3 linked regions of the Drosophila melanogaster genome follow. The protein of the gene in region 2 purifies or fractionates together with the protein of the main gene of each other region. This does not show direct contact. Each region holds a gene or a part of one and is shown on either strand. Other genes may lie near its edges.

Evidence for each region.
Region 1: the proteins of CG7430 (region 2) and yip2 purify together in Drosophila melanogaster (affinity purification with mass spectrometry, with the first as the bait; one large-scale study listed by BioGRID). This does not show direct contact.
Region 3: the proteins of CG7430 (region 2) and Pgk purify together in Drosophila melanogaster (affinity purification with mass spectrometry, with the first as the bait; one large-scale study listed by BioGRID). This does not show direct contact.

The regions. Positions count from the first base shown.
Region 1 is NT_033779.5:9,906,806-9,917,167, forward strand, and holds the start of yip2 (yippee interacting protein 2), read left to right. Parts: upstream 1-8,447; 5' UTR 8,448-8,542; coding exon 8,543-8,561; intron 8,562-8,819; coding exon 8,820-8,986; intron 8,987-9,246; coding exon 9,247-10,175; intron 10,176-10,234; coding exon 10,235-10,316; 3' UTR 10,317-10,362. Other genes in the region: Etl1, read right to left, coding at 2,434-3,060, 3,119-3,421, 3,481-3,627, 3,684-3,951, 4,012-4,344, 4,404-4,966, 5,320-5,480, 5,539-5,671; Srp54 (splicing regulatory protein 54), read left to right, coding at 6,243-7,784.
Region 2 is NT_037436.4:17,841,370-17,851,731, forward strand, and holds CG7430 (uncharacterized protein), read left to right. Parts: upstream 1-5,546; 5' UTR 5,547-5,827; coding exon 5,828-5,869; intron 5,870-6,177; coding exon 6,178-6,705; intron 6,706-6,768; coding exon 6,769-7,647; intron 7,648-7,710; coding exon 7,711-7,776; 3' UTR 7,777-8,232; downstream 8,233-10,362. Other genes in the region: CG5577 (uncharacterized protein), read right to left, coding at 1-14; CG5567 (uncharacterized protein), read right to left, coding at 338-1,188, 1,906-2,047; MED19 (mediator complex subunit 19), read right to left, coding at 2,885-3,345, 3,411-3,525, 4,385-4,822; TrpRS-m (Tryptophanyl-tRNA synthetase, mitochondrial), read left to right, coding at 8,511-8,729, 8,792-9,219, 9,408-10,362.
Region 3 is NT_033779.5:2,748,823-2,759,184, forward strand, and holds the start of Pgk (phosphoglycerate kinase), read right to left. Parts: upstream 4,247-10,362; 5' UTR 4,173-4,246; intron 4,019-4,172; exon of another isoform or gene 3,623-4,018; intron 2,168-3,622; exon of another isoform or gene 2,092-2,167; intron 1,326-2,091; exon of another isoform or gene 1,257-1,325; intron 492-1,256; exon of another isoform or gene 390-491; intron 1-389. Other genes in the region: Bacc (bacchus), read left to right, coding at 4,593-4,838, 7,186-7,348, 7,423-7,472; HemK2 (HemK methyltransferase 2), read right to left, coding at 9,728-10,362. UniProt on the Drosophila melanogaster protein: Enzyme of the glycolytic pathway. Glycolysis is essential in glial cells but not in neurons; neurons rely on the citric acid cycle for their energy needs, and on lactate and alanine secreted into the hemolymph by glial cells to fuel it.

The sequences.
Region 1 (10,362 bases), on a different chromosome or scaffold from region 2:
TCTTCTTACTTATATGTACCATCCACTTATATCAATAAAACAATGAACTTGTCAAAATGTGGTAATTAACGAACTTAGAGAATCTTACATAGGTTAACTGCCCTGTGAGAGTGACTACTATCATAGCAATGTGAACTTGCCTCGCTAATTGCTCTACACTTCCCATTCTCAGATTGCCAAACAGAGTGCTCGGAATAAGCTAGGCTGGTATTATGAATCAGCGTCGGATGGACGGATATACTCACCTTTTAGTGCAAAAATATTTCCTTCAAATTGTTTCGTTGTTGCTGCTGCTGTTGCTGCTTGAGCTTTTGTTTATCTCTGTCTATAGTGTATATATAGATGGGTTTGTTTGTGCGTTGTTGCTATTCGTCGATTCGATTGTTGCTTGGTGCCGCAGCTTAGTTGTTCGTATAAAGATATTTATCTACTTCGTAGATACGCTCTTTCGTGTCTCGTTTAATCATGCTTGGCATGCGCCAAGTCAAGCCGTAAACAGTGTCAGAAATAATTAATATTTCGAAGCGTCCCTCCACGCCCAAATAGTCCGCATATGGGGTAATACACTAGATGGTTATGGATTGCGGGCCTCTAGACACAGATACAGATGCAGGCAGATACAGCGGCAAATGCAAAAAAAGGCACAGATACGCATACGCATACGCACTCACACAAACGCACTGTGATCACAATTGATTTTAGTGCCTATTGTTGTTGCTTTTGCTCGGATGACTGGTGGCTGCTGTGCGAGCGAGAGGGCGAGATGAGTGATATGAGCGGGTGGCTCGTTAAGTATACGCACCGTTGGTATCGTCTATTTTTGGTTTGTCGCTTTGTGCTGCTTGTTCTCGGCTCGTTGTCTGCTCGTCGTCAATTATTACCGATTCCGTTTTGGTTTCTTAATTTTTGTTCGCGTTGTTGTGTTCGTTCGTTTTTCTTTTTATTGTGATTTTTCTCTCATTTAATGCAGATCGCTCGCTATTTATGTATATAATATAGTTATTGTTCGGATTACTCTCACACGTACACATACAAGCGGTCACTACACGCATACAGGCGCGGCCAAAATGAGGGGATTATTAATTGTTATTTATATTTTCCTATACTACTCTTCATGTTTAGCCTGCACGCGCTGTTTGTTTTCACCCGACTTGTGCGCCGTATTCTTTGGCAATTGCCAAAAACTGCTCACATGTGCCGCCGCATCTATATTTATAGTATATGACAGCGCTGCGAATGATGACTGTATCGCAGCACTATGTAGATACATCTATAAACCTATATGCAGTTGGCGTTGCTTCCGTTTCCGTTGGTCAAAAACAATAATATCAGCGGGCTGGCAGAAAGACAAAATAAAAAAAAGAACAGACTATTTCAAATTATTGGCCCGATTTATTTAGCGTTTTAGTCGCCGCCGCGGCACAATATGATTTCCGCTCGCAAACAGTTTGTCTATTTTTAAATAGAATTCAAGAAAGTATTCGGGGAGGAAACGTATGTACTTATGCATGAATCACATAATCCCGATTCGTAAGAGCAAAATATAAAGGATCGGGGATGTAATTGGATTTAAACACATTTAACTACGGGACAATGGAACCTTGGAATTTTGGTTTTACTTTAGGTTTCCATGGGTTCGTTGCTGTCGATCGAGACACTATATCTGCGGGGTATATCTATTTATCGATGTACGCCGTATTATGTGAGCATGTATGTATATTCGCACGTATGTATGTATATGGATGTGAGTAACGCTGCCGGCTGCTACACTGGGCGCAGGCTTTAACTTAAAAATTAAATCATCGGCGCGAGCGATCAGTTGAAGACTAAAGACTTGATGAATCGCCGCGCCAGCCGAAAGCTCTTCATTACAGTTGTGCTCTCTGGAAAGCGATTCTCCGCTTCTCTTTGCACCACACAACCAAAAGAATCTCGTGGGAAAATGCGAGAGCGATCCGTTTAGGGTTGTCGAGCGGCTCGAACTATAGAGCAAATATGTAGAAATAAATGAACATGATCGCATTCGTACACAAAATGATCTTTATCCTTATAACAATAGTTTCAATTCGATACATAAACAGAAATTACAGAAATGAAAACTAATCATGATGACAAATCAATAAAACAAGAATATTAACTTGTCTGCCTTGGTTTATCGTGGAAATGTTGCTGTTACTAATGAAGAAAAACTAATGTCGCCTCAACGGTGAAAAATTACTAACTCGATTTATGATCCACTTTTGGCATACCATACACCAAATCTCTCCTTGCATACAAGTTTAAAAAATATACAAATACAATATTGTTAGAATAATTCAAACGATGTTAACAGGATTTGACAGCGGTAGGACGATTAGACCAAGTTGATCAAATGCTCGCGCAGAATAAATACGGAGGTGGGGACAAGGACGAGAACGAGGACAACGAGAATGCCTATTTGGCGGGCGAGGCTATGGAGTTGTTTAGTGAATTGTTTAGCTGCTCCTCCTGATCCTTGTCCAAGCCAAGGGCTGTGGTCAACAGCTTGACCACACATCGCTGCTCGTGCACCTCGCCCTTCTCGTTGGAAGTAATGTCCTTTTCTAGTTTTAGCTTCTCTTCGGCGGCCATCAGGATGCCCTCCTCGATGGTACTCTCGGAAATGAGACGGTAAATGGTCACCGGACGCTGCTGTCCCATGCGATGACACCGATCCTCGGCCTGTTTATCGTTGTACGGGTTGAAGTCGATATCGTGAATGACACAGGTGTCGGCAGCCGTCAGGTTGATGCCAACGCCACCGGCTTTGGTGGAGAGTAGGAACACAAAGATGCTATCGTCCCCATTGAAGTCGGTGATCAAATCCTGGCGGACATTTACGGCGGTCGCCCCGTCCAGGCGACAGAAACCAAACTTTCGTATTCGCAGATACTCCTCCACAATGTCCAGCATCATGGTGAACTGGCTGAAAAGCAACACACGGTGTCCTTCTGCCTTCAGTTTTGGAAGCAACGTATCCAGGTAGAGGAATTTTCCAGAATCGCATATCAAATTATCGGGTATTTTCACGTCGTAAAACTCCTGAAAGATGCACAAATTTAGTCATTGTCATTGGACAACCTCTTTGATAGTCACTTACATGCTTGTTCATCATCTGATAGACCTGAAAGTCTGACATAACGGCTAGCTCTTCAAAGATGTATTGCTCGTTGGTCTTTTTAAAGGAACTGGCATTAGCCAGGCGCTTAGAGAATCCACGTAGATTGGCGTCGGTGAAGTAGTGACGCATCAGCAACGGATGGTTTGCAATGCGGCGCATCTCCATCATGATCGCTATGCCGGCCCTTTCGCTGCTGCTGCACACCTCGCCCTTGTTATTGGAATAATAATCGACCAGCTCGTGATAGTATATTTTCTGTTGACTGCTCATGGGCACTTTTTCCTTTAAATAAAAAACAATTTAATTATTGTATAATATTTATTTTCGCCCGACGTACTTACCACCAGGCTTAGCTTCTTGGGCAGGTTCTTAAGGACATCTTTCTTAAGCCGTCTGAGTACAAATGGCTTCATGATACGCTTTGCTCTCTGGATTTGTGTTTCCTGGAACTGTGAAACCTCATCCTGATCTCCATCGCTTTTTCCCTTCTGCAAGGAACATGAAGTTTATATATTGTTTTGTGTGAAACCAATCTTTGTTTTACCTTAGCAAACAACGATTTTATGTCCTCAATGCTCTTGGCAAAGAATTTGGGCATCACGAAGCAGAGCAGAGAGATTAGCTCCAGCAGATTGTTCTGCAGCGGAGTTCCAGTGAGCAGGATTCGCATCCTAGCGTTTATGGTTATAAGGTTAGCATAGCGTTGCGTGGTCATGTTCTTCAGCATATGGGCTTCATCAAAAATGACGTAGTCCAACTTGCAAACCCGGAACATTTTCCTCTCCTCCGGCGTGGATCCCACAATGTGATATCTGTTCAAAATGTACAAGAAATTTAAGCTTAGATTCTTTTATGGCTTTGTGGATATTTACGTGGTCAGAAGAACATCAAAGCCGGTAAATCCATCCTTGGCAAAGCGGCCTCGCATTCTCCTTCGCTCGTCCTGCGAGCCATGGTACTTCTCCACCACCAGTTCGGGACACCAGCGGCTAATCTCTGCCTCCCAATTATCCAGCGTGGACGAGGGCACCACAATTAAATGTGCAGCCTGGCTAAGACCATTCTCCTTTAGATAGGCCAGAAATGCAATAACCTGAATTGTCTTGCCCAGACCCATTTCATCTGCCAAAATGCCATTCATTTCTTGTTTGTGCATTACGGTGAGCCAATTAAGGCCAATTATCTGATAATCAGCCAGCTGTAGACTGCAAGAGGAACGAAAATAGAAACACAAATGGGGACATGCATGCTGGTTAAGGCTCACCCGCTGCTAAGAAGCTTAGGTTGCTCCACAATGCCAGCACCATTGGAAATCGCCTTCTCCAGACGCGACACCATGTTATTGCACTTACTTAGAATAGCGGCCACCGTGTTCTGTTTGTTAATCAGCTCTTGAGCGTAATTCAAAAGATCACCCGACATCCTGATGCTCTCCAGCTTTTGGCGCAAATCAGACCAATCACTAAATGGTCGCACATCAATGATGGCTAATGCCTTCTTCTCGGACAGCGTTTTAACTGACTGGAGTTCAATTAGCGAAGCCTCGTTCATAAACTGGAAAACTTTTTTACGTTGCCCCGTCATCTTGGTGGACATCTCGCTATCGCTGTCATCGCTATCATACACCTGGTCCTTGGACTGCTTCACATCATCGTCGTCCGAATGGTCGTTATCCGAGAAGTTGCCTCCACTAATTCCGTTTGACCTGGGTTTCAGCTTGGACTTGGCCAGTGGTCCATTGTGCCCCTTGGGCTTGCAGTTCTCCCTTAGGTATCGCACGGAAGCGGCCACATCCCAATTGGTGCGGGAAAGAGACTCCTGGATGGCCTACGGAACATATTTGAAATTTATTTCAGTTAAAATCGAGATTTATGCAAAATATTGCATTAAAAATGAGCAATTTTAAGCTATAAAATATTCTGATTAATTTTAAAATTCAAATAAGAACGGTGATAATGTCCGGAAATATTTTATATGAGGCACACCAAAGTAGTGGAAACAGTTACACGAGAGGGTTATTACTGCTCCCATCCCCGTCAGTGACGCCCCTGGCTAACGACAGCTGTTCGCAACGCCGGGCCGAACCGAATCGCCATGTTCCCCGAACTCAGATGCAGAGACGCGCGTTTCCCCGCGAATCGCCCCGTTTTACCTTGGTGGCATTTCGGCCGGAAACCTACCATTGTGTCAAAGTGGGGCGAAATCTTGGCGGCTGCCATGTAGCGCTCCTCCTTTTCCTTAACGGTCAGCTCCAGTTTGGTCTTCTTGGGCGTCTGGGAGTCGTTGCCATCGCTGTCACTATCGGCCATCACCTGGATGCGCTTCTTTCCAGGCACACGCTCTGAAATCAGGCAGTTAGCTACCGTGTCAATCGCTTGGAATTTTAGCTCAGCAAGTACCAGTTCTCGAAGGACTAGCGACGACAGAGGAAGCATTCTTGTTGATGCGGAACTGACGCAGATCGCTGAGGCTCGACTTCGCGGACGATGAGGCGGAGGCCGACGCAGATGCGGCCACTGTGCTGTCCGACATCGTGGGACAAGGCGAAACGCTTCCTGGCAATCTGTCAGTCCTTATTAACAAATTCTGTTTGCAACTCCTACAATCTTAAGTTGGTATTTGTGAATATTCGCATGCTAGTGCGGCCGTTTGATTATCCCGATAAAACCTATTTCTATTTCTCCAACGGAATGCGGTCACACTGTGCGCCAATTTAAGTATTAGCTTAATGATTATTATTATTTTTCATTTATTTTTATCGAACTGTAACGCATTAGTGTAAGCTTCTATGAGATTATCTAACAATTTGCTTTTGTATATATCGTATATGATTTGATTTCGTCAACCTAACCGTAAGTAATTAAAACCGATGCCAAAATGAAAGAAAGAAACTTAAAAAAATCCCAAACTGGCGGTAAATTAAGAAAGTTGCCAGAGTTGCCAGATGTTATCGGCTTACCGCAAGCAATCGGCCAACAATCGAAACATTGGGACGCGTTGCAACCCTCTCTTTTTTTCGCTTGCTCTTGTAGGTTAATTGAAAACACTTTTATTGCAAATAAACCGCTTGCCGAGCCAAGGGCAAACCGATAAACTGGCAAACATGGCTGGCGGCAACACCCCGCGTGTGATCCAGGTGACCAACATAGCGCCGCAGGCCACCAAGGACCAGATGCAGACGCTGTTCGGGAACATTGGCAAGATAGAGGAGATCCGCCTGTACCCGACAATCCGTGATGTCTCCTGTCCGGTGCAGTCGCGCATCTGCTATGTGAAATACACGGACACGACCAGTGTGCCGGTGGCCCAGCACTTGACCAACACGGTGTTCATCGATCGCGCCCTAATTGTCATACCCGTTCTGGCCATACCCGAGGAGTATCGGGCCCTGGAGATGCTCAAGAACGGAACCATTGTGCCGGGACTCCAGAAGCCGGACTCCAAGCTACCGCCCGAAGTCATTAACCGCATCGAGGGACAGCTGCCGCAGCAAGTGATCAAGACGTACGACCCCAAGTTGGTGGAATTCAATCTGCCGGAGTACCCGGCCTTACCCTCGTTCTACGATGCGCGCAAAATCGAGGAGATTCGGCGCACCATTATCGTGTGCGATGTTAAGAACGAGTGGCGGCTAGACGATCTGATGGAATGCTTTCAGCGCGCTGGGGAGGTGAAGTATGCCCGTTGGGCCGAGAAGGATAACAAGACGTACTGCATGATTGAGTTCTGCGAACAGACCAGCATTATTCACGCCCTGCGCATGCAGGGCCAGGAGTTCAAGGGTGGCCATCTAAGCGTCTACCACTCCACGTATTCCATAACCAAGCCGGAGGCAAAGTCGAATGAGGCAGCGCAGGCTGAGATTGAGGAGGCCATGACCATTGTGAAAGAGGCGCAGAGTATGATCTCAGCGGCCATTGATCCGGTAATTGGAATGCTCGCTAAGGACAAGCGCCGCAGGTCGAGATCACGGTCCCGTTCCCGGGACCGTCGCACCAGTCGATCCCGCTCGCATCGTTCCACATCGAGACGCCGTTCCAGGCGTTCCGGTTCCAGAGAGCGACGTAGTGTGTCCCGATCACGCCGCTCTAGGTCGCGTGGCAAGCACTCGTCCCGTTCTCGCAGCAAGCGCTCAAGATCACGACACCGTCGCAGCTCCTCACGTTCCAGGAGATCACGCTCCCGTGGCGGCAAGCACTCTCGCTCCTCAAGGTCGCGTGGCAAGCGCTCCAGGTCCCGCCATCGCCGCAGCACCTCACGCTCACGTAGCTCGCGTTCCCATGGCACCGGTGGAGGAGGCAGTGGCAACGGCAAACGTTCCCGATCCCGCGAGCGCAGCAAGAAGTCACACCGCAGCGAGAAGCACTCTTCACGTTCTCCCCGATCTAGAAGCAAGCGCAGCTCTCCCTCGCCGCCGCCAGCTACCGGCAGTAAGTCACGGTCCAGTCGCAGCAAGGATCCGGTCATCGTTTCCGCCAAGTCATCCCGGCGGCGCGACCGCTCCCGTACTCCCGAAACTCGCAAACTCAAATCCATCTCTGAGGACACTGAGGTTAAGAGCTCACGATCCAGCGCCGATTCGAAGTCACGCAAATCGGTTAGTGTCGAGAAGTCGGACAACATGGACATCTCCAACTCGCCCTAGACCTAGAGAGATTGCATACTACTTTATAATAAATACAGAACTTAAGCAACCCCGTCTCCAGTACAACCCGACACCCATTGTCCTCAATGAGATTTGTATTTCACTCAACTCTGTCATAGTTTTCAAGTATAAAGTCTAATTAAAACTGAAGCATTTTCTTTCGTAATGAAAAAAATAGTACATACAAATATGAATGATATCGGTATCATAGCAGTACAATTTTTTTTAATTTTTTGCCAAGTACGGATTGTTTATTTGGAAACTATAACAATCTTATTGTCTTCTTATTAGGAAAACCCAATACAAATGCAAGTTAAATTAATAAAAAACTTTCTAATGAAGACCAACTTTAAAACATTGTATGATCAACATTTTGTAAGGAGTACTTAAGTATGCAAAATTGCTTTGATAAATATACATTAAGAACGCATTAAAGAGACTTGTATTTAAAAACTAGAGGATTGATTGAGTTTCATCAAAAATCGAAATTCAGCGATGGTGACTAATCGTCACTAAGAACAAAGGAAGGAACAAACTGCAGCTAATTTTGCACAGTGTATTCTACAGCTGTAATCGGTGGGCTTGTCTCACTTTGTTTGTCAGAGAGCGGGGTAAAGCTTTTCGAGCTTTCATCCAATAATATGTCGGCGATGGCGGCGAATCGCGACCAGAAGTCGAAAGTTATTGCAGTGCGATAGTCGCCTTTACTTGCATTAATTTATTTGTTGTTTTATTTAAGAGTGAACCCACCTTAGAAAATGTCTGCCGCAACCAAAGGTAATTATGTGAATCCTTTAGGATATGCCTATGCTGTTGGAAGTCTAGATAAGAGATGATCTCGCTAGAGAGATCTGAACTTTGGACTCGTTGGTGTCTTATCTGATGCTATCCCCCCCCCCCGCGTCCAGCCGGTTGCACTTTGGACCTGTTGAATCGAAAACAAAAATCCGCCTTCGTTCGAGCTAAATTTGTGCTATCACTACGCACATTATATATGTTATACATATGTTCGTATGTTTCTTCTCCTTTGTAAAGGTATCTATATTGTGGCTGCCAAGCGTACGGCCTTCGGAACCTTCGGTGGATCCTTGAAGGGCATCAACCAGACCCAATTGCAAACCACGGCGGCCAAGGCTGCCCTGGATGCTGCCGGTCTTAAGGGTGAGCAAGTGGACACCGTCATCGTGGGAAATGTGATCGCGGTAAGTTGGATTGAAGATCCTAAAATAGAAACTCTTAAGGCGTCGGATTAAAACAATATTAAGATGTTATTAAACTAAAAGAAATATGTAAATGTGATAAAATACTTGTACATCTGGTTATGTAAATTAATTTACTCGATATTTATTTGTTATTATTGCTTAATTGCAAACTCAGTAGATCAAAAACTGGAACTACATGCTTATATTATGTTTTTTTGTAACTTGTAAGTCTTAAAAATCTCTTCTCTTCCACTTCGCAGTCCTCCTCCACCGATGGTATTTATGTGCCCCGTCATGTGGGTCTCAACTGCGGTGTGCCCATCGAGAAGCCCGCCCTTGGAATCAACCGGCTTTGCGGTTCCGGCTTCCAGTCGATCGTAAACGGAGCCCAGGACATCCTGGTCGGCGGTGCCAAGATAGCCCTTACCGGCGGCGTGGAGAACATGTCACAGAGCCCTTTCATTGCCCGTAATGTGAGATTCGGAACCACCTTGGGTGCCAGCTACAATCTGGAGGATGCTCTATGGGCTGGCCTCACCGATACCTACTGCAAGCTGCCCATGGCTCTGACCGCTGAGAACCTGGCCGATCAGTACAAGATCAGTAGGGAGCGTGTGGATGAGTTCTCTCTGCTCTCGCAAAAGAACTGGGAGAAGGGTCAGAAGGAGGGAGCATTCAATGCCGAGATCACACCCATCAAACTTAAGGTCAAGGGAAAGGAAGTGGACTTTGTGGTGGACGAGCACCCACGTCCCAAGACCACCATCGAGGGTCTGAACAAGCTGCCTTCGCTGTTTAAGAAGAACGGCGTTGTGACTGCCGGAACAGCATCCGGAATCTGTGATGGTGCCTCCGCAGTGATCGTGGCCTCCGAGGAGGCGCTTAAGGAGTACAACCTGAAGCCTCTGGCCCGTCTAGTGGCCTTCTCCTTTGTCGGAGTCAAGCCTGAGATCATGGGCATTGGCCCAGTACCCGCCATTCAGAACGTCCTGAAGGTTTCCGGCAAGAAACTGGAGGATATTGATCTGATTGAGATCAACGAAGCCTTTGCTGCCCAGACATTGGCTTGCGCCGATGCCCTGAAGTTGGATACCTCCAAACTGAATGTGAACGGAGGCGCCATCGCCTTGGGCCATCCTCTGGGTGCCAGTGGCTCTCGCATCACTGGTCATCTGGTTCATGAGTTGCAGTAAGTTTCCGTGGAAATTTACAACCTGTCATAAATTGATAATTATATATTTTTTCCAGGCGCAAGAAGCTAAAGTACGGCATTGGATCCGCGTGCATTGGTGGTGGTCAGGGCATCGCCCTTCTCCTCGAGGCTGTCTAATCCTACAGCTTAATGTAATAGGTGCCCTGCATTTACACTTAAATTA
Region 2 (10,362 bases):
CCGCCTCTGGACATTTTGCTTCGTAGACCGCTTCGCCAAATGCTTGCGACTCAACTAAATCGACGGCGACGGGCTGGCTGATTTCGATTCACGGTGATTGGGGAAAATCTGCTATCTCCCTTTCGCACAAAGCTCGCTCGGAAAAACAAATTGAGTCGGGCATATCGGTTAAATCATCCGTCTCACAAAATGCTTTTGAATTTATTTAAATATTCTTTGTTCTGTGGTATAAATTGCACTATAAATTTGCGTTAAGTATTAATAATCTTTCCTGTCTATTGAAGTTAAATGTAAAATCTATACAAACACATGTCCGTACTATTTACTGATTACTGATTCATTTCAAGTCCGTCAGGCTGTTCACGATCGACGGCAACAGATCTCCCAACTTGGGCAGGTACACGTCTGGTATGAGCTTCTTCTCCTCGGGATCCTGGCTCAACTTCCAACGCTCCACGTCCTTCAGCTGATGGATTCCGGAACCTACAAGCAGGGTCTGGAAGCCGCAATTGAACCCAAGAAGTATGTCCGTATTGGCTCGATCTCCGATCATCAGAGTTCTCGATGGATCGATCTTCTTCTCCGTGACCAGAGACTCACAAATGGCAGGATTCGGCTTCCCGATCACTACAGGATCCCGCTCCGCACAGGTTTGAATGGCCCGCACGAAGCTCCCGCTGCCTGGTACTATCATATTGGGCATGGGGAAACGCTCATCCGTATTGGTAGCCACGAACAGACACTCCGGGTCGTTTAGGTAGGAAGCGGCCTTCATCATCTTGGGAAAACTGAAGTGTTCGTCGAAGCCAACGACCACGGCTCCGATGTCCGTGTCCAGTTTTAAATGCTGTGCCATGAACTCGGCCAGCGATCCCTTCATGGGTTCCGGGCCCACCTCAGTGTGCTGAATGCCCACGGCGTCCAGTTCCTTGGTGATTCCCTCGCTTCCGATCACAAATACCCGCTTGCTGAAGTTCCGTCGTTTCAGGTACGCAGCTGTGGCATGGGCCGTTGATATAATGCCATTCTCCTTGATATGAAAGCCCAGTTCGACGCCTTTCTTGAGAAGTTCCGACCGGGTCTTCGTCGAGTTGTTAGTGCAAAAGTAGATCGACTTTCCCATACCCTTCAACTGGTTCATCACATCCACAGAGCCCTCCAGGGCCTGGCCATAGATCCAAAGGACACCTGATGTGAAAAAATGGATTAATATTGTAGAAGAATTTTCTTAAAATTAAAAAAAGAACGGTGCTAAATAGGTTCTCACTTTGTAGTTGTTAGTTTTATTAATGCCATTGCTAGTTTTATAAAGGGCGTTATTGATTTCTCAATATCTACAAAAAGTATACTCATATTGTTGGTAATTTATTTCTAAAATTGATAAATTAATCATTCAAAGGCAAAGAGGACAGTTTGAAATTAATTCCAATTAAGTAAATTGGTAACTTCGCAAAGATACATAAACGAAAAGAAATAAAAGCTGTTATGATTAAAGAAGGCATTATTGCATAAAATTAATAAATAATGGGGTTGAACACAACTTTTGATATTGCGTATATAATAACGATTTCCTTGAATTGATAAGATTGTCTAATATTAATAAACTTAGGGCTCATCACTATGAGCATTAGGGAATTTATCAAACGGCTCTTTACTGCTTTACTCTTTACTAAATATAACGATGATTAACAAGATATGAGGGCATCCGAAAGTCGACTTCCCGCCATATCACGCACTTCACTCTTTGACATTGAAATAAACGACGCAGCCACAATACAGAAACTATTGGCTGCTGACGTATTTGGGCAGAATGTGGTATACACATATCTTTATGTAACGCAACTTCCTGGGGGGAATCCTGGGTGGGTGCGAGTTAGTAGTATCTCATCCCCACCACCGACTTACCATCGCAGTCGGTTATTACACTGTCGAAGCCTGCTAGCCACTCGGTCACCTTGGCGGAGGATAATTCCAGGAGATTGGTGCACGACTGCTTGTACATGTTGATAGCTGCCTGTCGCGAAAATCTGGCGAAGTTACAACTCATCTATGGCTTTGCAGCGACGACTATCTTATACACATCACTTTTAATTTATTAATTGACTCTCGATTGCGAGAAACTCCCTGAGAATTAAAGCAGCTGTTGGCGCCTGTTAAGGCTATGTTACTATCTGTCAGATTTCAGCGTAGCTGTTAATGCGCCATGTTAAAGTCAACAGAGTGCTAACAAGTGTTTGGCGCCAAATTTGAATTTAAGGGCTCCTTGGAAGCAGAACTTCTGTGCAACAAATGCTTATATTCGAAAAATGAACTAAGCTCCCCAAACTATTGTAAACACACACTTTGATCATTTTTATGCTTGTTTATTGTTTTATGTGCCTAATCACTAAAATTAATTACTTATAGTACAGGCATTTTTATTTTGTTGAATCTCAGCTTTCTTTTGTGTTTATAAACTTGCTGGAAGAACAAACCATTGCAGAAATTTAATTGAAATACTGACCCTACACACGTTACAAGGTTGGTAAGCAAATTAAAGAGGTTGCAAAGCAGCGTTTTTGTGGCGGCGTGGCGAGGGGTGTGTTTGTGTGGAGGGAAGAGCTGGAATCGAGAGCGAAAACGTTCTTGCGTTTTGTACCATAACTTGCGTTTAAATAAATCTCATTAAGCTAGCGCGAAAACGAACGAAAAATTGTTGGCTAATTACAGAAATAAACTATTTTACATTTACAATAATCATAAATTAATAACTAGGACACGAAACGATATCGAGAAAATTGCATGTAGAGGACCGAGGCCCTCTGCGTTTTTTTTATGTTGCCATTTGGGGTGCGTCTGCTGATGAGAGGTAATGAGCCAAGTCTATTTTGCTAAAGGATCCTGCCTAAAACTGCGACATAAGCAGACTCCCACCGACGCCGCCCCCGCCACCACCTCCTCCTCCGCCGCCGCCACCTGGACCGCCACTAGTGCCCAGCACAGATCCCAGCAGACCGCCACTTGACATCTGCTGTTGCTGCATGGGCATCTGCTGTTGCTGCTGCATCTGCATCGATGAGGAGAAGCTATTCATGTTCCCCACAACGCCAGGTCCCATACTGGCACTAAGGCTGGACAGCCCGGGTCCTCCAGGTCCTCCTCCCAGCGATCCCAGACTAGTGGCTCCCATTACACCCGCTGCTCCGCCCAAGCTCGCTCCTCCGGGCAGCAAGCCCACGCCCGGTTCGGGGCTCTGGTTTTTCTTTTTACGCTTTTTCTCCTTTTTGCGCTTCTTGCGCTCCTTGTCGTCCTCATGGCGTTTCTGCTTCTTGTGCTTTTTCTCGTAAGTCTCCAGGCCGGCCGAGTCTGCAAGATGGTTATCATTGGATTATGTGTGATCGAGTTGCTCGATAATTCAGCAGATTGCTTACCGAGCAGCGTGGATTCCTGTCCCGTGGTCACCCCGTCTTTGTGTTTTTGCTTTTTGTGTTTGTTTTTGTGTTTACGCGCAGGTGTGACATATGTGGTACGATACTGTTCCGGCAGCTGAAAGGAGCACCAGAATCGGATAAATTAGCAATGTGAAAGTGCAGAGGAAAAAAATAATATATTTTATGCAATTTGTTCTAGTAACGATTTATCCATTGTTTGAAATATATGACATGTAAAAAATATTTCACGAAACCTTTTAAGATGAATTATTATTATTATTAGATTGCATATAGGGTGAAAGAAAACTCTCAATAATATTAAATGCCAATATTTCAATAACAAGAAAGGAAGGACAATCCGTCAACAAGGAAGGTTAGTTTTTTTTTTTTTTTTGAATATCATAATATTAAACCATATGGCAGCAATATGAATTAGTGGCCTAAACTGGCGCGTTCTGATTTATGCACTACTTGCAACAAAAATTTAAAACTGAAAGAAAACGGGCAGGCGGACATGGCCTTATCGACTCAGCTGTTCATATAGATCACTGCGTTGCGAACTACTGACTTAATATACACTGTTCAAAAGAGGTTTAAAGGGAAAACCAACATTTACACTCTTGTTAATTTAAGTAATTTTTGTGATTAATGACTAAAATATTTGTGTTTCAAATTTGTTGTTGAACATAAGGAAAATGAATTACAACTCTAAAATACTACGGTGATTATAGAAATAAGTGACAGAAAAGGTGCGACCAAATAACACTTTATAGTAGATCAGTCTGTGCAAGGACACTTAAATCCAAATTTCATATGCAAATTTTAAAAAGCGAAATTAATGCATGCAAATGTATAGAGACGCAAAGCATTGAATAGCGTCTAAATGTATTCTAAGATGTTCAATGTGCCGTATCTAAAGATTCGTCATTTTTCAAACTGAGCAAGCGAATTAAAAGCATATTGGAAAAACCAACCGGTCCGGGATGCAAGCGGAATCCGGCCAGCTGCACGGGAGTCAGCGGAAGAAGCTCCTTTCCACCAATGGGCGGCTTTTCGATCACGCTCCGCAGCGTGCTATTCTCCACGGGATGCGTGATGAGGTCGTTAATGCCGGGGATGTTCTGCAGAAACGAGGCCAGCGACTCCTTGAACTTCTTCTCCTTGAACTTGGTGAGTGTGTGGTGCAGTCCGTACTCGGTCATGAGATCCTTGTCGCCGGTAAGTTCTGCCTTGGCGGGTGGTTCCTTCATGGAGTAAAATGGCCCCGTGTGAATGATCGTTGGCGTCTTGCCCAGCGAAATGGTCGTTTTCAGGGTGCCGGATGAGTCTTGACGGGCCACCACGGGTGATCGGCCGCCGCCGTGGGGCGATGACTTCGGTGAGTCCATCATGTTGCCGTAGTTGCTCATCATCTTGGAAACTCAGCGATTCTCTTCACTCTTGGCAACCCACGCACACAATCGCACCGCACCGCACACGCTCACGCACACAGGGGCACAGCAACAAGGCAAGGCCAGCAGAAGGTGTCGCCTGTCGCGGCTCTCGGGCAACGCTGGCCAAGCTCACACTCTGCAAAATGCGCCGCGTCTGCCCGGCACTTCGGCTGACTCTTTTCTGGTCGAAAACTGAACTAATTATTTGCTCTTGTGGCGTTTTCTAACAGATTTCGGGGGCAAGTCTCGCCATCTTGTTGTGTCCGCGAACCAGTGTGACCGCATTGCGACAGCTAGCGAAATACTGAGGCTTCAACGAAAACGCGAGATGAACGCGACGTGAAAATACCAAAAGTGTTGTGGGAAATATCCCAGATGGGGAATACCACACAGGGTTGTACTGTAGGGCAAACTATCGAATATTCATCGTATAATACATTTTTAATTACCTATAGATATAATAAAGTTAATATTACTTTGGAACTCTTATTATATATGTATCGTATGTACGTTGAGTTATATATTTTTAAAACAGTTATTTTACAGTTTATTTATTACAGTTTATTTTATACGTACAAAAACATTAATTAATGGGTGCCAAAACTATAAAAGCCGGCTTACACGTATAGTTGGCTTGTTTTTAGGTAGCTTTTGCTACAACAAATGACCCATAAAGTGAATATTGTATAAACTAGCAATTGAGTGACGGACATATCGTATTTTGAACGATCATCAAGCTAATATTTTTATACACATCTTTTTCATACGAAAATGTTTTAGAATTTCAAATTCCAACAGAGTGGAAAATCACCAAAACAATCGATAGCATCGCGGCCATCATATGACCACTATCGAATGCACATCGCCAGCCCTGCGACCGCTCCGAGCCCCACAACACGAAAAACAGTCGGAAAAACACACATCAAACTAGTGTTGTGTTTGTAGTTAAATAACGATTATCCTCATAACTCGCCCGCACCAGCCATGCAATTCACGCTCCGTCATGTTGTTTCGGCAGTAGCCAAGGTAAGGATCGGGCGACATAACCGATTCCCCAAACGCCATCGCCCCTCAAGTTATGCAATCTAACCTCACCGAGGGGGTCGAGAAATGGGCAGGAAAAGGCTGGAAAATGCACTTGGATCACCTGCAGTGCTCATATGATCCCGGTGGGTGATTCACTGGCGTTTGGGGATTTGTTTGGCCCCGTTTTCAAGGTCGCTAATTAGGCCAATTATCAGCTGATAGTCGGCCGAAGATTAGTGCGAAATGCGTGCGACTGGCGTGATAAATGATAAGGTGCCACAACATGTAGTAATCTGCCGTCTTTACAGACTCCTCTGCGCACCAATGCCGCCATTCTGGGTGCCCTCAACGCCCGCTGCTACTCCAGCACCCACGAGGCGGACATCGTGGTGATTGGCTCCGGACCCGGTGGCTATGTCGCCGCCATCAAGGCCGCCCAGATGGGCATGAAGACGGTCAGCGTGGAGAAGGAGGCAACTCTGGGCGGCACCTGCCTGAATGTTGGCTGCATTCCCTCAAAGGCGCTGCTGAACAACTCCCACTACTACCACATGGCCCACTCCGGTGATCTGGAGAAACGTGGTATTAGCTGCGGCAGCGTTAGCCTGGATCTGGAGAAGCTTATGGGTCAAAAGTCCAACGCCGTGAAGGCTTTGACCGGTGGCATTGCCATGCTTTTCAAGAAGAACAAGGTCACACAGCTGACGGGCTTCGGCACCATCGTCAATCCCAACGAGGTGGAGGTTAAGAAATCCGACGGCTCCACGGAGACTGTCAAGACCAAGAACATCCTCATCGCCACCGGCTCGGAGGTTACCCCCTTCCCTGGCATTGAAGTAAGTGCAAAACCTCTACAGCGCGCTTGATTACTAATGCATGCCATTCAAAAACCTTCACAGATCGACGAGGAAGTTATTGTGAGCAGCACTGGCGCCCTGAAGCTGGCCAAGGTGCCCAAGCATCTGGTTGTCATCGGCGCCGGTGTCATTGGCCTGGAGCTGGGTTCGGTATGGTCGCGTCTGGGCGCTGAGGTCACTGCCATTGAGTTCATGGATACGATCGGCGGCGTGGGCATCGATAACGAAGTCTCCAAGACGTTCCAAAAGGTGCTCACCAAGCAGGGTCTTAAGTTCAAGCTGGGCACCAAGGTGACGGCTGCCTCTCGCAGCGGCGACAACGTCACCGTGTCCGTGGAGAACGCCAAGTCTGGCGAGAAAGAGGAGATCCAGTGCGACGCCCTGCTGGTCAGTGTTGGACGTCGTCCCTACACCGAAGGTTTGGGTCTGGAGGCCGTGGGCATTGTTAAGGATGACCGCGGCAGGATCCCCGTCAACGCCACTTTCCAAACTGTGGTGCCCAATATTTACGCCATCGGCGACTGCATCCACGGACCCATGTTGGCGCACAAGGCTGAAGATGAGGGCCTCATCACCATTGAGGGCATCAACGGCGGCCACGTGCACATCGACTACAACTGCGTGCCCAGTGTAGTCTACACGCATCCCGAGGTCGCGTGGGTTGGCAAGAGCGAGGAGCAACTGAAGCAGGAGGGTGTTGCCTACAAGGTGGGCAAGTTCCCCTTCCTGGCCAACTCTCGTGCCAAGACCAACAACGACACCGACGGTTTCGTCAAGGTTCTGGCCGACCAGGCCACCGATAAGATCCTGGGAACCCATATTATCGGACCTGGTGCCGGCGAGCTCATTAACGAGGCTGTGCTGGCCATGGAGTACGGAGCCGCTGCCGAGGACGTTGCCCGCGTTTGCCATGCGCATCCAGTAAGTGATTACCTAATCTGATTTGAACCTTTCGAACCTAATGCGCACAATTCCTTCTTTCAGACATGTTCCGAGGCCCTGCGTGAGGCCAATGTGGCAGCTGCCTTTGGCAAACCCATCAACTTCTAAGCACTTCCCAATCTCTGCCAGATAGTGAAGAATTTTGCACCGCGTTTGAAATCTTTGAATAACCCCTATTCGAAAAATTATCCTGACGGCCGAAACGACAGTCTCCGCATATTTGTAACTCTCAATGTAGGAACAGAAAAGTGGAAAATATAAATAATGGTAATGGCGCCAGGCGTTAATTGCAATGTAATATGTGTATTAAGCTAGAATAAATACAACACTGTTTGAAAACTCGAAACTGCAGTTCTGCAGATTAATTCTTTTTCAATGTCGTTAGATTTTCTGGTGTACCACTAATAAAGCTATAAGCATAAAAATAATAGGAGTCCTGTTAAAAAAAAAAAATTGTTCAATTGGTCTCTACAATTTATTTACCATCAAACAATTACATTAAATTTCAAGCCATACGTTCACAAGTAAGATGTAAATAGGTAATACCCTTAAATAGAGAGTTATAAAAAAAATGATAATAAATAACATTCTTTATTAAATTTGAATATTAATATTAATCCACGATTTAGCGGAAAACTCGCCAAGCTGAGTATCACTGTTCACAGCTGTCGTACCGGCTTTTCAAAAGCCATCTGGCAACGCTCGCGAACGCTCAGTGTCAAAATTTCGGCCGTTTCGAACAAATAATTTATTTTTGGGCTTTGTTCACACATTTAGCACCGCATTATTCCCAATATTTTTTACTCAAAAGTTTTGGGGTACAAAATTCATAGCTCATTGCAATGTTCCGATTTGGCAAGCTCCATCGCAGTCTGTCTAAGGTGGCCAAAAAGGGACAGACAGCTGTGTATTCCCAGCGCCGTTGCATTCAGGCGAGGAGTTTCTTGCCGGGATTGGCTAGTAGGACGGCTGGAACGCCCTCTGCGACGGCCCAGGTAACCGGTGGAAACAAGCAGCACGTACACCCCCATGGTAATTCCGTTAACAGTGGCCACGAAGAAGTAAGTGCATTCGTAGAAATAGTTTACATAACACAAGACTCTAATATATTACCCCAACCCAGCATAACACCCGCTGGCCGAGGAAAGTCTTTAGTGGCATCCAGCCGACGGGTTCCCTGCATCTGGGTAATTATCTCGGCGCCGTGCGCAAATGGGTGCAGCTGCAGAATGCTCGTGACGATGTCACCGTGTGTATTGTGGATTTGCACTCTATTACCATGCCCCACAATCCGCCGCTTCTGCGAGAGAACATCTTCACCATGGCCGCCACGTTGTTGGCATGTGGCATCGATCCCACCAAGAGCACCCTCTTTGTCCAGTCCGCCGTTGCCGAGCACGCCGAGTTCAATTGGATCCTTAGCTCCTTGACCACCATGCCGCGATTGGCTCAACTGCCGCAGTTCCGAGAGAAGTCCCGTCTTCTAAAGGATGTCCCTCTGGGATTGTACGTTTACCCGGTTCTCCAAGCAGCCGACATTATGCTTTACAAGTAAGTAAATATATTCCGTTTTTTGTTCAGAATGTAAGCCGGGAATGCAAGAGTCCTAGTTGCTTATCAGACTTAAATGCTTTGGTTCAGCTTTACATATTTTTAAACCACCCTTTAATATCTGAAATGGTTTGCCATTTGCTTACTTATTATAGTACTTATAATATTCATATTCGTTTTTCGATCAGGTCCACTCATGTTCCTGTGGGCGCTGACCAGATTCAGCACATTCAGCTGGCCCAGCACTTGGCCAGAATTTATAACGGTCGCTATGGCGAGACTTTCCCTGTTTGCACCGCCATCATTGAGGATGGTGATGCCTCCCGTGTGCTGTCCCTGCGAGATCCCTCCAAAAAGATGTCTAAATCGGAAGCGAATCCCAAGGCCACCATCAACTTGTGTGACTCGCCCGACTTGATTACGCAGAAGATAAAGAAAGCCGTCACAGACTTTACATCGGACATTACTTATAATCCTGGCAAGCGTGCTGGCGTCAGCAATCTGGTCAACATCCATGCCCAGGTCACGGGACAGAGCATTAAGACAGTGGTGAACGAGGCCGCCACTTTGGACACGGCAAAGTATAAGGACCGTGTGGCGGAGGCTGTGGTCGAGCACTTGCGTCCGATCCGAGAACAGATACACCATCACATGACTAAGCGCAACGAGATGATCTACTTGCTGGAAGTGGGTGCAGAAAAGGCACGTCAGCAGGCACGCCAAACGTTGAACGATGTTAAACAGCGCCTAGGACTAGGAACCAGTGCCAACATTCCGGCTGCGGTGCATGTGGCTCCACTTCTGCCCGCACCCGATATTTCCAAAACCTCAGCAAGCAGGCGAATGTCCAAGGACTTCGACGGGAATGTCCACGAGCGTCACGAACGGATGTACGGATTCGGAGATCAGCCAAGCGGAGGAGCTGGTCAGTCAGCCACCGGCGAGGTGGCGGATATGCCTCAGGCCGTTGTACCGCGGGTGATCCGTCGGGCGCCCATCGTTCCCACTCAGTCTATGCGCGTAGAGAAACAACTAGGTAGCACTCGAACTCGGCACGTATTCCAGATGGACACCTGCAATGCTCCGCATATAGGGTTCAAACCGCCGCCAGGATTTTCGGCCAGCATGGTCACCGGTGCTCTA
Region 3 (10,362 bases), on a different chromosome or scaffold from region 2:
TCATTATTTTCATAATATTTAAATATTGTCCATAGATAATCATATGCTAAAAATTAACAAAATAAATGTCTGCATATTCTGACTAGATCATTTAATTGATCATTTGCTATTTACAGTATACAATTTTTTTTATATTAACTTAAATAGAAACCGTTCATATAATATTTTCACTTAAATACATATAAAAATTATTTTTTTTAATAAATTTTTTATAATAAATTTTAACCCCTTAGAACTTTTTTCTTCCACACCCTTGAATGTCTGTTAAATTTTAACTGAAAGTCCGAATTAGTGATTTTTTATAAAAATTTATAATTAATTTATAAAAATAATAAAAAAAAAATTTAATAAATAATAATAATCTACGACGTACATACATATGTCCATACCGTATGTAACAGCCGCCCCTTTGATGTTTGTATGTCAATATGTAATTATTGAATAAATGATTTCTGTTGAGGCCAACAAAGTCAAATCACACAATCTTTCTCGGTGGCCGTTGTTTTATTTTGACTGTGCAAACGGATTCCGCTTATGATGCCATGATGATGGCTCCGCCTCTTCCCCCAATGATTCATTCATTGTTGCCCACTCTGTATCTCTACTCATCTCCGGCGGTCCAAGCAACCACCGGCGGCACTCGGCACTGGCACCACCAAACGCTAACCCACCGCATCACCACCCACCACCCAGCACACGGAACACCACCACCCACCACAAGTGCTCAGTGCAGCGAAATGCATGACGCAGATGGCAAAGTAAGGTATATGGGAACGAACGAGGTTGGGTTGGTTGCTGGCCATTCGGGGGTTTTCTAGCCAAAGTGGCGGGTTTTCAAAGAACTAATCTGCCCAAAGGACCAATTGTAATGTGAGCACATCACTAAAATAATCGATAGATTGCCATATCTGATGGGGTTTTGGGTGGCTGCCTGGGAGACTGGGGTGCGTATAAGCCTATTTGGGGCACTTCAGATGCAGCATTGCAGTGGTAGCGGCTGTCCTCCTTCATCCTTCAGCCAGCCGTCGGAAGAATGTCCACTCACACGTCACGGCTGTGGTGCTCTGCGCAATTAAGGCACCGCCGAGGACCCGGGTACCCACTGGTGATGACACCACGGCGCTGCTGCTGGGTCAGGTGGTATTGGAAATCGAAGACAATGGGGCTGCTTAAATTCATTTTAATAATTGCGTGTAAACCGCCCGTTGACGCAGGTGAAACGCAGGCGAGCAGGTGAGCCGGGCCAGTACATATACCTGGTCGAGTCGCGTCCATGTGGCCCGGCACTCGTGTGGAAACATTAGCACATGCCGGGAAAACGAGACCCGACTCCGAAAGTGTCCAATGCGACGGCGACGGCGATGACGTGCTAGCGCTAGAGATCAAGAATCCAGAGAGTCAAGCAGCCAAACAACAGCCAAGCGACCAAGCGAATCGCCCATCTAGCAACAGTCTAACAATCACTCTAATCGAGTCGTAAACCTGTTCATGTTGTTCCACCCAGCCATCTTGTTGGGTACCTAAGCGCTAGAAGGGACAGCCTATGGTGGCTATTCGTATGCGCTACAATTGGTTTTGTATCTGAACGGTGAGCTGCGCTACTCTTCATACATTGTTTACCATGCTATCGATGATATCATATCGAAATAAAGCTGTCAAAAGAACTGAAACTTCCGTTTTTGAAAAGCCTAACAACCCGATTAGAAGAAATCTATTAAGCACCGCATTAAGCTGAAAGAGCGAAAAACTTAATCGCCGTGAATACAAGCTGATGTGTGTGTTTTAGATACACATGCTAGCTGAAGCGTCTGGCTATCGATTGTGTTTGCATTGAGATTTGTTCGCACCTTTATGCTACAGCAAATTAATGACGCAACAACGTGTAAGTGCACTGGGAGAAATTCCTGAGGCAGGTCAGTAACGACAACGGTCGGGGAAAAATCCCTTGCGTTAGTTTCGTGTTCGAAAGGGCCATAAAATTTCCGAATCGACAGATGTTTGGGTTCCGGGAAGCAGGACCATCCATCCATTTCTGCCTGCTTGAGATCCTACCTACCCGGTGGTTGCCTGCATTTGAAACCGTTGTCTAACCTTGAAGTAACTACGGTCGTACCAACCAAGCCGATAACTCGAGAAATTGGCACAGGTTGTCCTCAGGAATCTAGATACCATTGTTCAACACCGAGAGGTGGTCTCACAAGCCCGATGAGCACGACTATTCGTATCGCGAGAGACCCACCAATCTTGGGCCGACGAGCGTCAAGCCACTCGAACGGATACTGAGAGTTCGGCGGACGGAAAGTGAGACAGTGACAGCCAGAGAAGAACGGTAGGCGGCCCATGGAAGCACAGCGAAATGGAGACGCAAATCGGCTTATCAGGCAGCGATGTTCAGGCAAAAAGTCATCGCTGCTCCTCAAATATGTGATAACTGAGTGGACGACGGGCCACGATTACAGGTGTTTACGTTCACCATGCCGCCTCGGTTGGGATGCCGCGGAACATGTTCGCCGGTTTTAATTAGCGATCCGCCTGTCGACAGTCGTCCGCTCGCTCTGTCGTCGACCGTATTATTCAGATTACCAGATATATAGCCTAGGTATTCGTATTTGCCATTGCTTTCGCACGAAAATAGCTGAAAGCGTGAGAGGCTGTCCAATCGAAACTCGACTGTTGGATACCCGGCAAACGATAGTTATTACCCTTTCGTCGATAGGCTACTGGAAATAGCACCAAGAACCTTATGTCTTCCGGTCGAATTCCTCTAGTATTACTTTATGGGTTGTTATTCCGCTCGTTAATGTGCACATTTTGAATGAACTTGAAGATCAACCTCGCAGTGATTGTCCCACTGATAACACAGATTTATAGAGAAGAGCCAGTACAACTCGAGCACGTTGACTACCAGGTGATATGGGCGATATGTTATAGCCTACTCGGCAGTTCCAGTTTCCCATATATTGGGCGATTCCTGAACCCACTGGGTTCGTGCGGCGAACGAAGCCATCACCATCAAATGGTCGAACCACAAGTGCGGGATCAACAGAAAGATTGGCACATGAAAAAAGAGTCAAGGGTGGACCCAATTCGACGAGTGATAGGCATTGGCATTTAAGTCGAAGTCTTTGGTGGGGCCATTAGGACTTAAGGATGTTTAATATTTCTGGAAATTGCCGATTTCGAAAACTAACCCTTAAATGTTTTCGAATCTTATGGGGTTGCAAATTGCTGTTTTCTTGCTATTTCTCCAGTTCTCTAATTCTAGTTTTAAGACGCATAATCCCGGAATAGAGCATTTCCCCGATTGCGTGCATCTAAATAGTTAGAATCTCAAAAATAGCTGCCCGCTTTCCTGGTCCGCGAAAATCACCTGCTTCCCCACACGTTACCAATCAATTGACCCCAATCCGCGACGACATTGCGTCCCACGCTGGTCCACTCTATAAATACGAATACCGTGCTGAATACAACACACAGCACACACATCTGCATCTGCGGCAACAATGCTGCAACACTTCTTCCCATCGGCAACATCCACATCCACTGTTCTGCTCTGTTCTGTTCTGTTCCACCGACGAACGGTCAGAACGCCACAGAGTGACTGCACCACACACACCACACACCACCATCGCCGCTACCAACCCCCAGACCCCGCCCCCAGGCCCACAAGCGCACCACTGGCGCGCGCAATTTTCAAATTTACCGCCAAACGCGCCCACAACCGTACTCACGGAACCCAAGCAGATTTTGTATGGAATTAATCAGGAAACCCACTCAACTTGTCATTTGCGGATCTAGTTTTGATCGCAGCGCCTCGGGAAAAAGCCCAAAATTAAGCGGATACTACCAGCTATAGCCTCGATCAGTCTCTGAACCGATCCGAACAAAGGTATTCAAGTTATAGGCAAAAATGTCTGCAACCGATTTGGCGCAAGAAGAAGCAAGCGGCAATTTCTAGCCATCGAACGGACGGCAAGCTCAGTCTTGTACGAACCGTCGACGGGAGCACATATCGGTGGTTAGCAAACCAAAGGAAAACGGATATTCCATACATCAGTGGGGCCTACGAGTAAATCCTTTTGCCTGCCGTAGCGCCGCCTGATATATGGCACCTCCTAAAGCCTTACTATATAGATACTATATTATCAGAAAATCACCGCAAAATAATATACCAAAAATCCAACGATCGCTCTGCTCTGGGCTGTTGTTGTTGTCTTATCGACTGCGGCTGTACAAATGCCGCGGCGATTTTTTGAGTGTATTGTATGGGCCAATGGCGTGGGAGAGAGAGAGCGAGTGAGCGTCGTAACGATTTCGGGGAGAGCGAAAAAGAGAGCAGCGAGAGCGTTTAAAGAAAGTTACTCTCTCCTCGAGAGGCAGTGCTTAAATAGACGGCCCGCAGCTGAATCGCATTCAGTGTGTTTGTGTGCTTCGTTCGGTGCGGTTCTCTCTGTCTCTCTCTCGCCTTCCCCGAGTATTTTGCGCTGGTTTTTTGTCAACAACAAGACAATCCACAAAACCAACCCGAATTGTTCTCTATATAACGCAGAAACTAAATAGTTCCGGAAAACCTCAAAGAAACCAATTCAAATATGTCGGCTGCTACGGAACAACAGAACAACGGCGATGTGGCCGTGGAGAAGGTGGCGGCAGATGATGTGTCTGCTGTCAAGGACGATCTCAAGGCGAAGGCGGCCGCCGAGGATAAGGCCGCTGCTGCCGATGCCGCCGGCGACGCGGCCGACAACGGTACGTCAAAGGACGGCGAGGATGCCGCCGATGCCGCCGCCGCTGCCCCCGCAAAGGAATCCGTGAAAGGCACCAAGAGGCCAGCAGAAGTGAGTACTGATCTATGTGACTAGGTAGTTGTTTACGCGGTAAAACCAAAAGGAGGCCCCTCTAATGATTCACTCCAAGCCAATATGCCAGTAGCATAGCATTGTTCGAGGAAAAATTCTAGAAATAGATATACACACGTTTTTCGGAACAGCGCACTCTCCCAATGGCTTACATATGCCCCCAAAAGAGAGAGCGTATAGCTGGCTCGGTTGTGCGTTTGTGTTGTTTACGATTAACCAAGATGATTGCGGGTCCGGCAATCAAAGATTATTGTTGTTAGGTTCAAATCGAGGTTAGGAGGGCCGCCGTGCTTATATAGGCGGGGAGTACAGTTAGCCAGGGCCTTTTCTTTGGTGGGGTGGGTAATGTGTTTTTAATAAACCCATAGGTCATTAGCATTGACGTGTCCGCTGAACAGCGTTACCCAGCAATAGATACATTGTGGCATTACGTCTATAACTCATACGCTTGGCCTTATTTATCAGTCGCTGTGGCTACGGGAATTGCAAATGCAAACGCAAACGCAATTCAGCGCGATGCCAATGCACTCTCTCAATGAAAACACACATTGCCGGCCGGTAAATTACTCATGTCATGTTTGGCCACTTTATTTTTGGTTAGTATCGCCAAGAGCACGCGGTATTCGAACAAGTTTTGGGGGCCTGAAGCAGTCGCATTCCATAATCGAGTAGCACATTTCTTGATAAAAATAAAATAGTTCGGCCAGTAAGGCAGATAAATTGGCAAATCAAGCGCTTTTCTCAGACTCAAACTCGAAATAAAAATGTACAGTTTAACGGGAGCGTTCTCTCGCTCTCTCTCTCTCTCCCCGGAGAAAGATAGATACAAATAGAGAGCGCTGCTAACTCTCTCCCTCGTAATTTGTATACACACCGTTTTGTCTGTTTGCGTATGTGCTTACATTTATCTTTCACTTTTTTTTCTGCTCTGCCTTATGCGTATTTATTTTAGTACATAAAACAAGACGGCTAAACAGGGTGTCGCAAAAGTTAGTTGGGTTTCTTCGGGATTCAATTGAATAATGATCATTATCCCATGATCATGAATTAGTTGAGATACGTTTGGCACGGATAATTCTTAGTGGTACAGTAACGAATTGTATAGATTTCAAGAATAGTTTTGAAAATTATTCGTTGGTTTCCATATCTTTCGATTCCAAACAACAGATTAGCTTTTGTCCCTATAAATGTATCTTCACGCTTAGAAAACACAAACTAAAACCTCTAACTAAATCAAGATACATTGATTACCCAGTTATAACACCAGTAATAGTAGGCTTAGTTCTTGCCAATACAGATACACCCTGTTCGTCTTAATCCTCTATTGGCCTTTTCTCGAGTTCTGGGTCTCGTGACTTATGCTGTAAGCGAAGTGAAAAAGGGGGGCGATGGGTGGCCATTAATTTTGCACATTTTTCCACAGTCCGATTGTTTTTCGCTTCTTCCGCTTTGTAACAGTCTGGTAAATAGGGCCCTTGTGTTGCGGCTTCTCTTCGACTTGGGAACGTGACCGCCTATATACTGCCATAAACCATATACCATTATGTGTATCTTGTTGTTGGTTGGTCAGCGGCAAAAGTTAAACCCACGCATGTTGTTGTTTTGCGCCTTTTTCGCTGCCGACGTCGCTGCAGCAGCTGTCGTTCGGATGGCTGTGAGTGAGAGCGAGAGATTCATTCATGCAGTTCAGGTACAGTTTACAGTGCTGCGGATTCAGATGCTCTCTCTCTGGCGCTCTCGCCCGCTCTCTATCTTACAGGGCACGCTTCGTTTCGTATCTCACGGATGCGGATACATATGTCGCTGCCGGCGTCGCTGCTTATTGTTTTTTTTTCCTTCCCCCTTATGTAGTAAATATGTCGCCTTGTACATACGGAGCACAGATGTAATGTAGCGCGGTTGCACTTGTAATCCACTCTCTCACGTACTCTCTCTCCCGCTGTCTCTTTTTGCCGCAGCGAATTACATTGGCGCGCGCATTTTTCAAATGTTTTTTTACGGCGAAAATAACGATTTTCGTCGCTGCTTGTTTTGTGTGCTGAAAATATACATTTTATGACTATGTACACACGCACAGGAAGTTGAGAGGGGTATTGGATGCCCTTGATCAAGGAGATGTGTGGGTTTGAGTTGGGCGCGTAGGACCATTTCGCTCCGTAATTCTCCCTAATATCCTTTAGTTTGTTTCTCAGATTAATATCAAAAATGCATAATTAATAGTGACGGGCCCCTTATTTCTGTTCAATAAACTTGCTTGTAATACAGTAAATCATCAGCGGAACAAAAACCAAAGGAACTCTACTAACTTCTCTTTTTTCGCTTCCAGGCCAAATCCGCAGAATCAAAGAAGGCCAAGAAGGCCGCGGCCGCCGATGGAGATTCCGATGAGGAAGAGGCTCTGGAGGAAATCATCGAGGGCGACAGTGAAATCGAGAGCGACGAGTACGACATCCCCTACGATGGTGAGGAGGATGACATTGAATGTGATGGTGAGTTCACGGAAGCACTTCCCTTTTCCACATCAATCTAATCCCCGGATTTTCCCTTTCCCTTACCCGCGCAGATGATGATGATGATAATGATGACGGTTCCGGCTCGGACGATCAGGCGTAATAATAATGTAGTCAAAAATACAAACAAAAACAAACAAAAATTTAAATTAATAATAAATAAAAGTTACAAGCAAAAACAAAACAAAAAAAATATAATAATAAACCAACAAGCAGAAAATAAACCACAACAAGGAGAAAATGAGGAGGAGGAGGAGAAAAAAACCACAAAAAAATCGCAAAAGTATATAATTTTTATGTTTAAGAAATAATTTTTTATTTCTTACCTTATTTTAATTGTATTTTATGTGTACTTTTTTTATAAAAAACTACAAAACAAACAAAAATTGTAATTGAAGGCATTTTCGTATAAACGCAACCTATACGGAATCCAACAAAAAGTAAACATCCCCACTATATACAAGAACAAAACAAAACCAAAATCTTTCTTTCCTTTATCTCATAAGTCCTAATTTAAACGCCCAGTTGATGCGTAAACCAAGATATACAAAGATTTCAAATGTAGCGTAAACGAAGCCCGCGAATTAAACACAGATACACTACACTCACACACACACACGATATTCAAATTCATTATTAAATTAGACGTTACATTTGTGAATGAATGATCGATCGAAAGAAGCAAAAATACAAAAGTGAACATTTGAAAATGAACATGATTATGAACATGAAAAAGAAACAGCAAATGCAATTAAATACAAAACAAATAAAACATAAAAATTGTATTTAAATAAATCGCAAAAATCATTGAAACCCCATACTCGACAAGCATTCAATGACACTCAAGTTTTAGCTATGGTTTCAAAAATTTCGCGCCCATTGTGGCCACAGTCACCCGAATTTCCCAAACCCAAGGCACTGGGACTTAGTTGGTCTTCGCTTTTGGGGCAAATACAAAAAAAAAAAACAAAAAAAAATGAAAGGAAAACATCGGGAAGTTTGAGTTCTAACCTTCTGTTTCGTTTCAGCATTTAACTATAAACTATGACTAATCTTAAGTACTTATGTCAGTATTAAAGCGAGGGCTTTATTATTCTGTTGATAAGTTGTGCGAGCGAGTCGTTGATAAGCCTAATTCATTTGTAAATTGTAAAAACCAACTCGAGAATCGAAAAACGAGCAAGAAAATAAACTTTTAATGTTACATGTATCTAATTAGTAAGGGCATCCAAACTATTTATACACACACCCCGTACGACGAGTTCTCAATATAAACATATAACGACTGATATTTCAAAACGAATCGTGCCCAGCTGGTCAATCACGGCACTCGACACCGAAACCACCCAACCACCACCATCCTCGAATCTAAACGATTTGTCCCGGAAAGACAGACCAGCCCAACATACACACACAATCCACCCACTGACCCAGATCCAAACTCCAAGAGGCTTAAAGCTGGTAATGCCAACCAGCAACTGAATAATTGAGTGCAATTAAACCAATATGCCCAAGATAAATCATCCGATTTGATAACTGATAAACAATAGCGATATCACAGACAATGTTAAAGAACTATGCATTTTTGTAAATACCAATTACTCATGTATCTGCTCCGTGCGAGAATAACATCTAGTAGCGCGAAAGGGCAAAAAGAGAAAAGAACCACGAATCGAAAACGAGAATAAGAAACAATTTTGAACGATGAAATAAATTATTGTAATTACGTAAAAGCGAAAACCGTACGTACATACCACCCATTTGGCATCTGTTCCGATGCCAATAAAAGTTTGTTTCAATTGCAGTTGGCCATTTTGGGTGGGGCAATCACCTCGCTTCGGTGTTCCCAGGGGTAGTAGTTCTTAGCCAGGAGCATGTACGTATGTAGGTACATAATTCATAGATTGGCCGCCCCTACATTACTCCGATCCATCCCTTCCATATCCCAGTTTTCGTTCGGGGGTTGACGAGCTGGTTCCCACAATCCTCCCTATGAAAGAAATCATATACTAAGGGATGATGGAAAAATTCAATCGGAAATTTCCTTTGATTAAGTACCTTTTTCGGATTGAAAATCGATTAGCCTTAGCAGATGCCTATTAAAAAAACGAATGATGAAATTCCGGGCTCTTCGTTGGGCAAATGAAGTTGAGCTACTTTTATATTCAAATTCAAATATAAGCGCAAAAATTTCTAAAAGTTTAAGAGCTTTTAAGTTTCATAAGCCATTTCTTTCATTTATTTCAACTTTTATTAAAATTATTCTCCATATTATTTAGTATCAAATTTAAGAATAAACGCCTAAAAAAGTTTATCTTTTAATTAAAATACAACTTTAATTTGATGCTATTGCACGAGTCATGATGATGCCAAGTACCTGGTGACCTTCAGTATGCACAAATGCTCGCCAGGAATGCGTCGCTCCATGAACTTAACAGCCCGGAACTGGAGGCCCTCTAAGTATTTGATAATCTCCTCCGGCTTGTTCTCCCGCAGCAGGAGTAGGTAGAGCACGCCTCGAGGCGAAAGAATGTCATCCAATTGCTTGAGTAGAATGTCCGTGACGCGTCGCCCGTCCTGTCCACCAGCCCAGGAGAAAACCAGATTGCGATCCGTTGAGGATTCGCTGTGCGAATCGAACTGTTGCGTCTGCAGCTCCTCGTCACTGGTGACTACATAGGGCGGATTGAAGAGCAGCACGTCCACGGATCGCGGACGCAGTGCATCCGCTAGGCTGCAGCGAATGCTATCCAAGCGAGCGCCATTCCGAGTCGCAGTTCTTCGAGTGGCATTGCAGGCTTTGGGATTGATATCCGTAGCTAGGCACAGCGAAAAGCCAGCCAGTTTCTTGGCCAGCGCCGTGATGATCACACCCGAACCGGAGCCCAGTTCGACGCAGAGACTCGGCTGTAGCCGGTCCAGGTACTCCAGATCCTTTTCCAGGGCATCCAGCAGCAGGAACGAGTCCTCCGCTGGCTCGTAAACGTGCTCGA